Linked DNA regions of Nothobranchius furzeri. The main gene of each other region encodes a partner of the protein of the gene in region 2 in a complex. Links are inferred from orthologs where the notes say so. Each region holds a gene or a part of one and is shown on either strand. Other genes may lie near its edges.

Region 1 (3,945 bases), on a different chromosome or scaffold from region 2:
CCCTCTGCTGTAAAGAAGCGGTTACTACAGGGAGAAGTCATAAAGCTAAACAAGGCATAACTCATCAGCACTTCCTATACATTCTTTCAAAATAAAACTAACCTCTGAAAAATTACTTCAATTTTAACTTGGAGTTAACAGCATAGTGAGTCGAAATAACGGGAAAGCCAGAGCTACTAAAACTCAAAAAATCTTAATTATCTGTGTTAAAGATTAAATCAACGACCACTTGTACAGCCACCTGTTTGCTATAAGCTACTGTGAAATAATGATCATCAGTGAAACGTAAAATTTAAGTACACAAAAATAAGTTTTTTCAAATTTTATAAATTTCTTTGATATGTTTTAATCCTAATTAATTAAGGAAAAGGGAAAATTAAGTCTGCTTTATCCCCCACCCAACCCACATATCCCAGATGATGTTCAAAACCTTGGCGCTGTCTGATCATTTAAGGATGAGTTAATTCAGAATGTCTTCAATTTACAAACTTAGGAGAAAACTCAAACGGAATCAGAAAATACAGAGTAAAGATCGTCCACTTTCAAAATCACACCTTTGACCAAGTTTCCAGAATTCACCAACAGAAATGAAACAATAGCTTTGATGTTTAATTCAAGAAATATCTACATCATAAAGTAAAAACTCAAATTTCAAACATTAAAATGCTTTAAATAAACACAAACCGTATCCCTGAGTTGGAATTTGCATATTTACAAAATGTACAGAAAGTTACAATTAAAAGGTAACAGTCTGACCAGCGTCAATGGCTTCATATGTAAAATATGGCTTTAACTTGATTGACCTTTCAAAGTCATTCCATGTAAATGGACAAAAATTTTAAAAACAAAAATTCCCCAACTTTACTGTTATTTTTACACTTTTCTAAGACATACGGCAGACAAGTTGAATAATATAGATGTCGTAAAAGCTCCAGTGGTAAAATACGCACAATAAAATGAATGCCTAGCTTATTCAGATCAGTACCTAAGACAATATGTGTGAGCACCAACCTAATCCTCTTTATGAAAGAAAGAAAAAAAAAAGACTGGGAATCCTCTAATAACACCCATCCCTAAACAAACACTCAGTTGTCTTCAGGGAACTTGAACTTCGCGTAGACGATGAGCATAACTACGGACATGACGACACACAGGGATCCAATCACAAGGTAGGCGATGCCCAGGAACTCGTTCTTTCCACCCATCCAACTGACATTGCTGAACACCACCTTCTTTTTCCCACCAAAACCATTCACAGGATAGTCTGAGGGACAAATGTTAAGGCTTTGCAAAGACCACTAAAGCATGGATTGTGTAAACATTCTTTTACCGTCCCATTTACTCCTATCTCACAGATCAAAGCTTTTTCATAAGTATGGATACCTAATCCTCAGGAACCCATGAAATTAAGTGTGGGGTTCCCCAAGGACCGATTTTAGGCCCAACACTTTTTAAGCTACATGCTGCCACTTGGAGACATCACCAGGAGACAAGGTATTGATTTTCACAGCTATGCTGATGACACACAGCTTCACATTGCAGTGTCCCCTGATGACATCAAACCAGTAAATTTACTTTTAAACTGTATTTTAGATATAAAGTCATGGATGACAAAACTTTTTACAGCTCAACCCGGACAAAACTGAAGTTTTAATCGTCGGTCCTGCAAACAAGCGAGAGATCCTTTTTGCAGAACTACACAATTTCAAACCTTCTCACTGAGTGAGAAATCTGGGTGCCCTCTTTGACTCTGAGCTTAATTTTATTCCATATACCAAAACTATAACCAAAATAGGATTTTATCACCTAAAAATATTAGCCTGGCTTGCCAGACTCCTCTGTTTAATTCTTTCTCTGTGCAGAATTCAACAGAGGAAGAATCTAGCAGGTCAGGCTATAAAAACATAACCAGAGTCCGCCCATTTCTCTCTCTCTCGCCAGCAGAGGTGTTAATACATGCTTATATTTTAAGTAGATTTGATTATTGTGATGCCCTGCTCTCTGGTCAACCCCAAAAGAGTATTTGGAACTTACACTTACTCCAGAATTCAGCAGCACGTGTGCTGACCAGGACCAGAGGGCAGGAACATTTTACACCCATTTTAAAATCGCTGCATTGGCTTCCTGTACATTTTAGGATTGATTTTAAGGTTCTTTTCTTAGTTTATAAATGTCTCCATGGTCTTGGACCTTCCCATTTAGCCGACCTTTTAAATTATGAACCCGTGTTCCCTGAGGTCCTCCAGTACTGGCATTTCAGTCAAACCAAAAGGTAGAACCAAAACTTACAGCGAAGCATCATTTTCCCACTATATGGCCCTCGTCTGTGGAACAGTCTGCCGGAGAGCCTCGGAGCTGCTGCAAGTACTTATGTTTTTTTAAAAGAGGTTCAAGACCTACCTTTTGAACTTAGCTTTTCATTGATATATTTGAACAATTTTTAGCTCATTTTTTCACAGCATTTTTTTACCTTTAACTTTTCAACTTTAACAAACTTGATTGTGCTGCCTGGTGTGCAGTGAAGGGGGCGAGGGTTAAGGTGTGTGCAAGGAGTTTGAACTGGCTGTGGAATTTTGATGCGTTTTTTTTTTTACATAAAGCACTTTGTGCTGATTATTATGAAAAGTGCTCTACAAATAAAATTTGATTTGATTTTATATTAAAACTAAACCTTTGTGCATTCACAAACTGGTATTGTAGCAAATATTATTTAACTTGCACAACGTGCAAAATGCACAGACAAATGATCTTTCTATAAGCACTTTTAGATCCTTCTGTTAAATATATCAAAATATCTAGTCAAAAGTGCAAAGCTTAAAAATGCAGTCGAGTCTCATTTACATAGTTTCTTTCTGGGTAGATGAAGACCATCATTTGCTTATCTTGTTTTCCTATGACAGAAGATTTGCATGTCTTGCTGCTCCTGTAAAAGCTCCTAAGTCGTTGTGTTCAAATCATTTAAAAGACTGAACCAACCTAACCAGTCACACGAGCCGAGGCTGCTCTGTGGCTGGACCGTGAAGCCTCATTCATGAAACTCTTAGAGCTTTGGTATTCATCTGACCCAATAGTTTAGGGATGAAGCTGATCATTTCTATTTACAGGTACAATAAGTAAGAATTTACAGTGAAATAATCACAAAACAGCAATTAAAATCAAAGTCCCATTAGTTGCAACACACACCGATGTGTGTGCAAAATTTGTTCTCCACATTTGACCCATCCCCTGGGGGGGGCGGTGAGCTGCAGACACAATCGTGCTCGGGAACCATTTGGTGGTTTAACCCCCCCCAAAGCTGAGTGTAAATCAAGGAGGCATTGGGTCGACCCGACCAGGACTTGAACCCTGATCTCCCAGTCTCAGGGTGGACACTACCACTAGACCACTGAGCTAATGTCTCAATCATGCTGGAAGGAAAGTTACTTTAGCAGATTTCAATCTCAGAAAGCTGGAGGGGTTGTCCGATTTTCTCTTTTTAAAAAGGCCAAAGAGGGACACTGTCTTTGTTTACCATCTGTAAGCCCGCTGGGTTCCCAAGGCTGCACCGAGCTAACGCTGCAGCGCTGGCATCAACAGCCACCATCATCTACAGCGCCGCCATTGCCCCCTCAAAAACATAAGGAAAGCCGAAGATATCTAGCCGGCAGACACGGAGCAGCTTGAAGAATACCTCGTGGGAAAACTAAAAAATATCAAAGCTTTATTCACCCGTGAGTGGAGGAGTAAAAAGATAACACAGCAAGCGTTTTACTCGAGGATGAAAATGATGGGAAACGTGGGTTTAGATGTGGCGAGTGTATGAAGAGGAGGATGAGGGACAAATTTTATCTGCGTTAAGTCTCTCAAATACAAAAACACAATATAAACACAGTAGTACTGGATACATGACAGGATACCCCAGAACAGCGCTACGCCCTCTGTTGTCCTGGCAGGGAATTGCTTGGC
Region 2 (4,250 bases):
TTCGAGGATGGGTCTGTTGTATCCTCACAGAACAAGGCTATCCCAGCATGCTTTGCGCGCCGGCAGTGGATTTTCAACAGGCAGAGAAAATGGGGAGAGCTACGAAGTTTTAAAAGTAAGTTTGTTAAGAGCTAGCCATAGAAACCTTAAAAGCTTAAAGCGGTTCAGTTTATAGATATTTTTCGTTTGTATATTTTTTTTTATTACATTTTAGGCAGAAATCAGCCAGAACGAGTTTGTATCGCGAGTCCCAGTTATTCCCGTGTGTGTGTGTGTGTGTGGCGAATTAAACTTGTCATTTGTTTTAAGGACTAATTTTGTGGTTATTTGATAGTTTTAAATTTTAGGGTTGGGTTAAGCAATAATGAAACATGGGATTTCCTCCAATTCTGACTCCAGATGTAGACAAATTAACTCCTCCAGGCTTTTGTGGTTGTTTTTATTACCTGATCAGTAATAAATGTTACCATTGTCAACAAAACCAGTCATTAATCAGAAAACCCTGATTTAAAAAAAACAAGTTAAACTGCTAAATGTGCCCTTGGCTTTTATTAACAACCACACGACAAAACCACATCATAGGAAGAAACTGTTACTGAGCAGCAGTTCTGACCTACAGGACTGGTACCAGTCTGGTTGGGACCGGTAACGGGACCATCGGATCAGTAATAGTCATATCAGATAGATCCGTGACAGTCGGATTAAGAGTTTAACGTTCCGTCCCAATTTTCTGTATAAAGGCCTGAATATGTTTAACGCGGTAATTCAGAACACGAACACAGATTTTTTTTGAAAACAAACAAAGAAATTATAAGACGGGGCTCCTGTACCAACAAACTCATAACACCACCAAGGCTTCACCCACAGGAGTTAGAAGCATCTGGATACACGTTAAATCTAAAACGTATAGATGGTAAATAAAAAAAAACATTTTTATTTGTTTTATAGGAATTTAAAACAAATCTGAGAAGAAAACCAATAATGGGGAAAAAAAGTTCCTAAAAAAATCTTTTAAAAAAGGACAAAAGTTAATCCAATCAGTGATTTCATACAATGTCTAACCAAAAACAGTGATTTTGCTCAAACACCTCACACAGCCTGGTTCACCAATATCCCACCACTAATCCGAGTAAAGCAGAAGGTATTCTGACAGTTTAGCCTTATTTCAGTTTTAATCTGAAGGAAAGGGAAGATAAAACCCAGATGTCAAAATTAATGTAATTGGACATGATTTCTAAAATGTGTTAAAACGTCGTTCTAAGTGCCGAGAAGAGGTGAGGCTCGATCTGTTTAGAGATTTAAATGACGTTTCACGTCAGTCGTACCGGTGTGGAACAGAACTGGCTCAATAAAAGAGACGCATTTAAAAGGAAAATCCTGAGTTAAGGAACATTGTGGTCTTGCTGGAGCTGCATGACCTCTGACCCCCGGTGACGGCGGTGGTTTCTTCGGTGAGTTTTTCTGTTAGAGTTCGTGCATAAATGGTGAAACTGGAGCTTCACCGGTCAGAGGCACTTCAATGTTCAAACGCTAGAATAAAAACCAAGTTGGAGCTGTTCAGCGACTCCACAGAAATTAAGTCGCTCCCAGATGTTTACAGCTCCTCCAGCTGTGGCTCCGCTCACATGGCTTGGGCATCTCTGCGAGAATGCTCTCTGGTGCCGTCCTGGGGACCTCCGCGGGCCTGAGGACGCCGTCGAATGCTCCGCCCAGTGGAGATGAGGTTGGCATAGCCGGGGGTGTGAGAGAAGGCGTACGCCGAGCGACGCGAAGGCCGATCCCTCTGGAACGCTGGCCTTTTCCTTCTCGCCTCTTCTTCCTCACTCCTCTTCAGGTCTTCTTCGTACTTCTTCCTGTTTTTCTGCACCTGGAAGAGGATGGGAAAAGTTTGTCTTTAAGAGCAGAAAATCACCTCCAAGTTCAGCATTGGGTCTTATTTAGTCTTCTCTGTCGGGACCTTTTAAAAACAGACTTCCTCCAAAAGGCCAAAATATATTCCTGCAACTAAAACTTCATGAAGGTGGTGCATTCAGTTGGTTTCTCTGGAGTATACAGGTGTGTGTTAACATAAGAAAAGGCACAAGAGCAGCAGCTTTCCCTATTATCCATCATAATTTATGCTCCACTTATTCTCCAGGATCATTCCAAAGCCTGCACCACTTTTGGCCGTTCCAATTTCATTTTCCTGCTCCAAACGACCGGAATGAGCTGCAAAAACCACTAAACTCTTCTAAATCTCACATCTGCCCTCAACTCGACACGATCAGTAACACCAAAGAGCTTCTGACTGCCTTCAGACGTCCAGATTACTCAGATGAAAGTCTGAGTGACGACGGCCTTTATGAGGTCCCGCTGTAACAGCTTTGCCGTCATATTTCTTGGCCGTAAATGACAACGATTCTCCGTCGACTCACCTGGTTAAATAAATCTGTGGCTTTCTGTCAATCTGGAAGGGTCAAAGGTCGTCTCTAAATGTGTTTGGAGACTATTATTCTACAGAGACACAAGGGGGAAAATATCCAAGACAGTCCCTGATCTAGGAGTGGAGGTTTCCTTGAGGTCAGAGGTCAATGCTCAGAATTCCATTAAAAAGGTCAAAGGTTACAGTAGCTTAGAGCAGATTTAGGGCGTTCCTCAATGTCGAGGAACAAATTCCCAGAATACAGCGCGGTATTTTCAAAAGGAAGCTGGCAGCTACTTTGGGAGCCCAGTATAGATGCAAGTCTGCTAACTGTGGCCATCAGGCTGAAATCTGAAACGTTAGCTATGGTTGGTTAGTTGCATCTTTGGTGGCTATCAGGTAGTAACTCACTTACATCTTTAATGTATTTTTAACAGTAAAAGGCTTGCTATACATTTATATCGAAACTTACACGTATAAAATATAACGTTGCCTCACGTGTCATGTGACGTGTAGGCCGCGGTCACATGATGCAGTTCTGTTTCGTTTAACCCTTTTCTTTGACCGAGGAAGGACGGTGTTCTCGTAAGCAAGGCGCCTGGCCTCGCCAGACATCGCCTCGCGAGGCCAGGGGGCTTGACATTGAGAAGCACCCCAACAGTTGTGTCCCGAACGAGAGAGCTTTACCCGTGATGCACTGTAGCACAAACCGCTGATCCCAGCAGCCTGGTTTGGGCCGGTTCTGATCTTTCAGCACTTCAGAGAGCTGAAAAGGACTCCACAAGGCTAAACGTGGACGTTGTTGGTCTCACCTTGTCTCCTACTGAAGGCCAGATGGTTTTGTAGAGGAACTGGATGCAGATGACGGGCAGCAGACTCATGCCCACCGTCAGGATGATGGTTAACCACAGGTATGGCTGACGCAGGGCATTGGGCGCCGCGCCTAAAGACACAAACATGGTTACAAGATGACACTTCGTTTTCAGCTCATCTCCACCTTTCAGCATCCTCCCCACTGACTGACCTGTGAAGGTGAAAATCGAGGGGAAGATGACATGAATCCCTGCGCTGTGGATGTCGAACATGATCCCAAAGTAGATGGCGATGCTACCCAGAACGGCAAAGCAGTTGACGAAGGTCCAGTATGACGTGTCCAGAGAGATCTGCCCAACAAGACCGTTGGGTTTTAGTCCCGTCAGTTTTCTGTCACAAGTTCTGGTCTGAACGTTTGACCATCAGACTGATGTAGAAACCGATTTAACACTAAATCATGAAAAACACCTGTTTGAAATTACGTAAAAAATCCCTTTTAACTCCAAATCTTCCTCCATTATGATGTTTTAAGATTGTTTAGCAAACTGAAAAACATTAAATAAGCTCGTCGACTCCTGAAGCAGCGATGGTTCGGACCAGGTGACTCACCTGCAGGTTGACTGTGAAAATCAGAGATGAGGCGGTTACCACGGCAAAGGACTGCAGGTCTGACGGAGCTTCTCCATCCTGCCCCATCGTCTGCAGGAACGCTCCGTAAGGAATGAAGAAGATGATGAGAGAGACAAAGATTCCATGGAACAAACTGATGAAGAAGTTCTTGTAGTTGAACATCGTCTCCTGCTGGCCAGGGAGGTAGAGTTTAGGAAACTTCAGACTCAGTCTGTCGTTCACGTCCTGCAGGAGGAGGAGGAAGGAAACAACACATTTATTTTTATGTTTTTATTTTTAACATACAAAAGATTTTCTGGTTTCAGTTTGGGTTTCAGTAAAATATTCAAAAAATTAACACAAATGAGAAATTTTCCCTGAAAATTTTGGACCCAAAAGCTTTGTTACTTGGTGAAAAGTCACTTTT
Region 3 (2,553 bases), on a different chromosome or scaffold from region 2:
AACAGGGGCTTCCTTTTCAATTTTCAAGAAACTCCTGAAGACCCTGCTCTTCAGAGAGCATCTTCTAAACCAGCACCCTGCCTGCACCCGTCCCCCCTCTACCGTCCACTCCTTTGTTCCCTACTCTCCATGATTGATGTCAAGTTGTTGTTGTTGTTGTTGTTAGCCTCAAGGGCAACATGCCGATTATCACTTGTAAGTCGCTTTGGACAAAAGCGTCTGCTAAACACATAAACATAAATTCAGTGAGTGTAACACATGAAACTGTTTCCTCCTTTCTAATCTGCGTTTGCGCTCCTCCCTCGCCTGCAGAACAACGTCTACATGTACTACGGCTTGTCCAACTTCTACCAGAACCACAGGCGCTATGTGAAGTCCAGAGACGACAGACAGTTGAACGGTGATGCGACTGCTTTAAAGGTACGGTTCTAATCGTGTTCATCAGGTAGAGTCCGGAATAATGTCTGTAGACTTTTCTAAACTGCGGGTCTTTGCGTTCGCTGCTCCTAGACTCTGGAACGTTCTCCCCCGTAGTGTTCGACAGGCCCCAGAACTGGGTCGGTTTAAGTCGGTACTGAAGGCCTTCTTCTATCATTTAGCTTTTATTCAATGATCAAGCTTTTAGTGTTTTTATGTTTTATTGTGACTCGGTATTTTATTGTTGTTTGTTTCTTTCACAACTTTTAGATTTTACCTCTTAACTCCTATATGACTTTTATCTGTTTTTATCTCGGGGTTTGTTCTTTTTACTGTACTGCCTGTTGGTCAGCTGTCATGCTGTTTTTAAATGTGCTGTATAAATAAACATGGTATGGTATGGTAAACATTTCCCTTTTCTCAGGATCCCAGCAACGATTGTGAGCCTTACCGTAAGATTGGAGTGGAGACCATTGCACCGTGTGGAGCCATCGCTAACAGCCTTTTCAACGGTGAGCCGGGATCTGCTGTCGATTGAAACGTTCTGTAGAAGTTTTGCTTAAACCTGCAGATTTGTGTTCTAATTAAAAAGCTCCGTTTGCTGTTTCAGACTCTCTGGAGCTGTATTACGTAGAACCCAGCGGCGCCCTAAATGCAGTCCCTCTGGCGAAGAAAGGGATCGCCTGGTGGACGGACAGGAACGTGAAGTTCAGGAATCCCGCTGGGGTCGACCTACCTACGGCTTTCAAAGGTGAGCTTTTCAAACCGAGCGTCTGTAGAGGTGTAATCGCTGGAGGTGACCTGAGTAGCTTTCCCTCGCAGGCACCGCCAAGCCGGTGAACTGGAGGAAGCCGGTGTATGAGCTGGACCCGTCCGATCCTGATAACAACGGGTTTATCAACGAAGACTTCATCGTGTGGATGCGCACGGCTGCTCTGCCCACCTTCCGGAAGCTCTACCGCATCATCCACAAGAACCAGAGCAGCACCTCTACTCTACCCAGCGGGAGATACGTCTTGAACATCACCTACAGTATCCTTTACACTTCAAACTGTTTACAGCTTACTCTTTTCGATTTCAACAGGTCAGGAATATTATGGTGAAGCTTTAAAATCTTACTACACTTACACAGGGCTGGGCCGTTTGGGAAGATTCCTATCAGCCGTATTTCCATATCAGCCGATATTGATACACATCAGGATAAAGTTTAATATTTACATGCTCCAGTGGGCGGCTCCAAGGAAGAGGCTCCAGCTGCTACTTTACATCTGCGCGGCTCTGTTCCGGCCTCAACACGGAGCAACTCTTACCCGGCCTTTCCACTGGATGCGTAAGCGGCGTGTGACGTAGTAGATGCGCTTTACCTGCCAGCTCAGCAGCGCTGGGTGTCTCAGACACAAACGGCAGCACACACGTACCGCACAGCTGGTTCAGCAAGGTCACAAAATCACCAGAAAATCACAAGACCACGCGCGATTTCAGCAGTTCAGCCGATAGCAAGCAAGGAGGAAGTTGGCGGCGTGCATCGTAAAAGGTCTGGTTTGTGTTCCGTTCGCCTCGGCTGTGGACGTTTCTCAGATAATGACGTATACATTTTTACTAGTTGATCAACGGGAAAGCCACGTGTCTTTTATTTTGAAAGTTTCAGGTTTTTCTACGCTGCATTTGTGTTAAATTTAGCAGAGCGACGTGTCACTACGCTTATGGGATGCATCCAACATGTGACGCTTCTCAACCAGGGGAAACGCCGACTCTAACGGCGGTTAATTGCTTCGTATTAGGCTTCGTGGACGTTATGCGATGCTTACGCGTAGGGCTAGGCAATATGGCCTCAAATCTATATTGCGATATATCTGAAGCATGTGCTATTACGATATATACTGCAATATATTTTTTCCTTTGTTTATATATGTCAAAATGACATGCTTTAAAAAAATCCTCATATGGAAAATGTATTGCAGCAGAATAAAGACGTCCAAAAAGTGTAGAATGCTGCTCCTCCTCCCGCTACGTGCTTGCGGTCACTGCCATTCTGTTGTTCCAATGTCGGCGCAGGTGCACATCTTAGTGGCTTCACGTGTTATCGCGGTAGAGCCAAAAATGTATCATTACCCAGTTTTATATCGTTTCTGCCTC

Evidence for each region.
Region 1: the proteins of atp8b1 (region 2) and tmem30b are in contact, whole or in part, in a cryo-EM structure (PDB 7VGH), measured with the Homo sapiens proteins. The link is inferred for Nothobranchius furzeri from reciprocal best matches to the Homo sapiens genes ATP8B1 and TMEM30B. Residues at the interface, in NP_001361314.1 of Homo sapiens: Trp362, Val366, Ser369, Ser370, Trp371, Tyr372, Leu373, Tyr374, Asp375, Gly376, Phe418, Trp421, Asp422, Leu423, Tyr426, Asp431, Pro433, His939, Trp942, Arg946, Tyr968, Phe971, Asn972, Gly973, Ser975, Ala976, Gln977, Leu1003, Gln1005, Phe1049; in NP_001017970.1 of Homo sapiens: Gly9, Ala10, His11, Gln12, Pro13, Asn15, Phe18, Thr19, Gln20, Gln21, Arg22, Leu23, Pro24, Ala25, Trp26, Gln27, Pro28, Leu30, Ser31, Ala32, Ala35, Leu38, Phe39, Phe46, Leu49, Leu53, Tyr109, Tyr111, Asn116, Phe117.
Region 3: the proteins of atp8b1 (region 2) and cell cycle control protein 50A are in contact, whole or in part, in a cryo-EM structure (PDB 7VGI), measured with the Homo sapiens proteins. The link is inferred for Nothobranchius furzeri from reciprocal best matches to the Homo sapiens genes ATP8B1 and TMEM30A. Residues at the interface, in NP_001361314.1 of Homo sapiens: Thr138, His359, Trp362, Glu363, Val366, Ser369, Ser370, Trp371, Tyr372, Leu373, Tyr374, Asp375, Gly376, Arg384, Ile388, Phe418, Asn420, Trp421, Asp422, Leu423, Tyr426, Lys430, Asp431, Thr432, Pro433, His939, Trp942, Arg946, Tyr968, Phe971; in NP_060717.1 of Homo sapiens: Lys24, Thr25, Arg26, Arg27, Pro28, Asn30, Phe33, Lys34, Gln35, Gln36, Arg37, Leu38, Pro39, Ala40, Trp41, Gln42, Pro43, Ile44, Leu45, Thr46, Ala47, Val50, Phe54, Ile57, Phe61, Ile64, Ile68, Ile75, Phe119, Tyr121.

The regions. Positions count from the first base shown.
Region 1 is NC_091758.1:27,091,669-27,095,613, forward strand, and holds the end of tmem30b (cell cycle control protein 50B), read right to left. Parts: intron 1,265-3,945; coding exon 1,086-1,264; 3' UTR 589-1,085; downstream 1-588. UniProt on the Homo sapiens protein: Accessory component of a P4-ATPase flippase complex which catalyzes the hydrolysis of ATP coupled to the transport of aminophospholipids from the outer to the inner leaflet of various membranes and ensures the maintenance of asymmetric distribution of phospholipids.
Region 2 is NC_091746.1:72,924,524-72,928,773, forward strand, and holds the end of atp8b1 (phospholipid-transporting ATPase IC), read right to left. Parts: intron 4,070-4,250; coding exon 3,824-4,069; intron 3,565-3,823; coding exon 3,426-3,564; intron 3,345-3,425; coding exon 3,214-3,344; intron 1,868-3,213; coding exon 1,622-1,867; 3' UTR 528-1,621; downstream 1-527. UniProt on the Homo sapiens protein: Catalytic component of a P4-ATPase flippase complex which catalyzes the hydrolysis of ATP coupled to the transport of phospholipids, in particular phosphatidylcholines (PC), from the outer to the inner leaflet of the plasma membrane.
Region 3 is NC_091758.1:36,702,311-36,704,863, forward strand, and holds part of cell cycle control protein 50A, read left to right. Parts: intron 1-312; coding exon 313-420; intron 421-841; coding exon 842-929; intron 930-1,027; coding exon 1,028-1,168; intron 1,169-1,239; coding exon 1,240-1,449; intron 1,450-2,553. UniProt on the Homo sapiens protein: Accessory component of a P4-ATPase flippase complex which catalyzes the hydrolysis of ATP coupled to the transport of aminophospholipids from the outer to the inner leaflet of various membranes and ensures the maintenance of asymmetric distribution of phospholipids.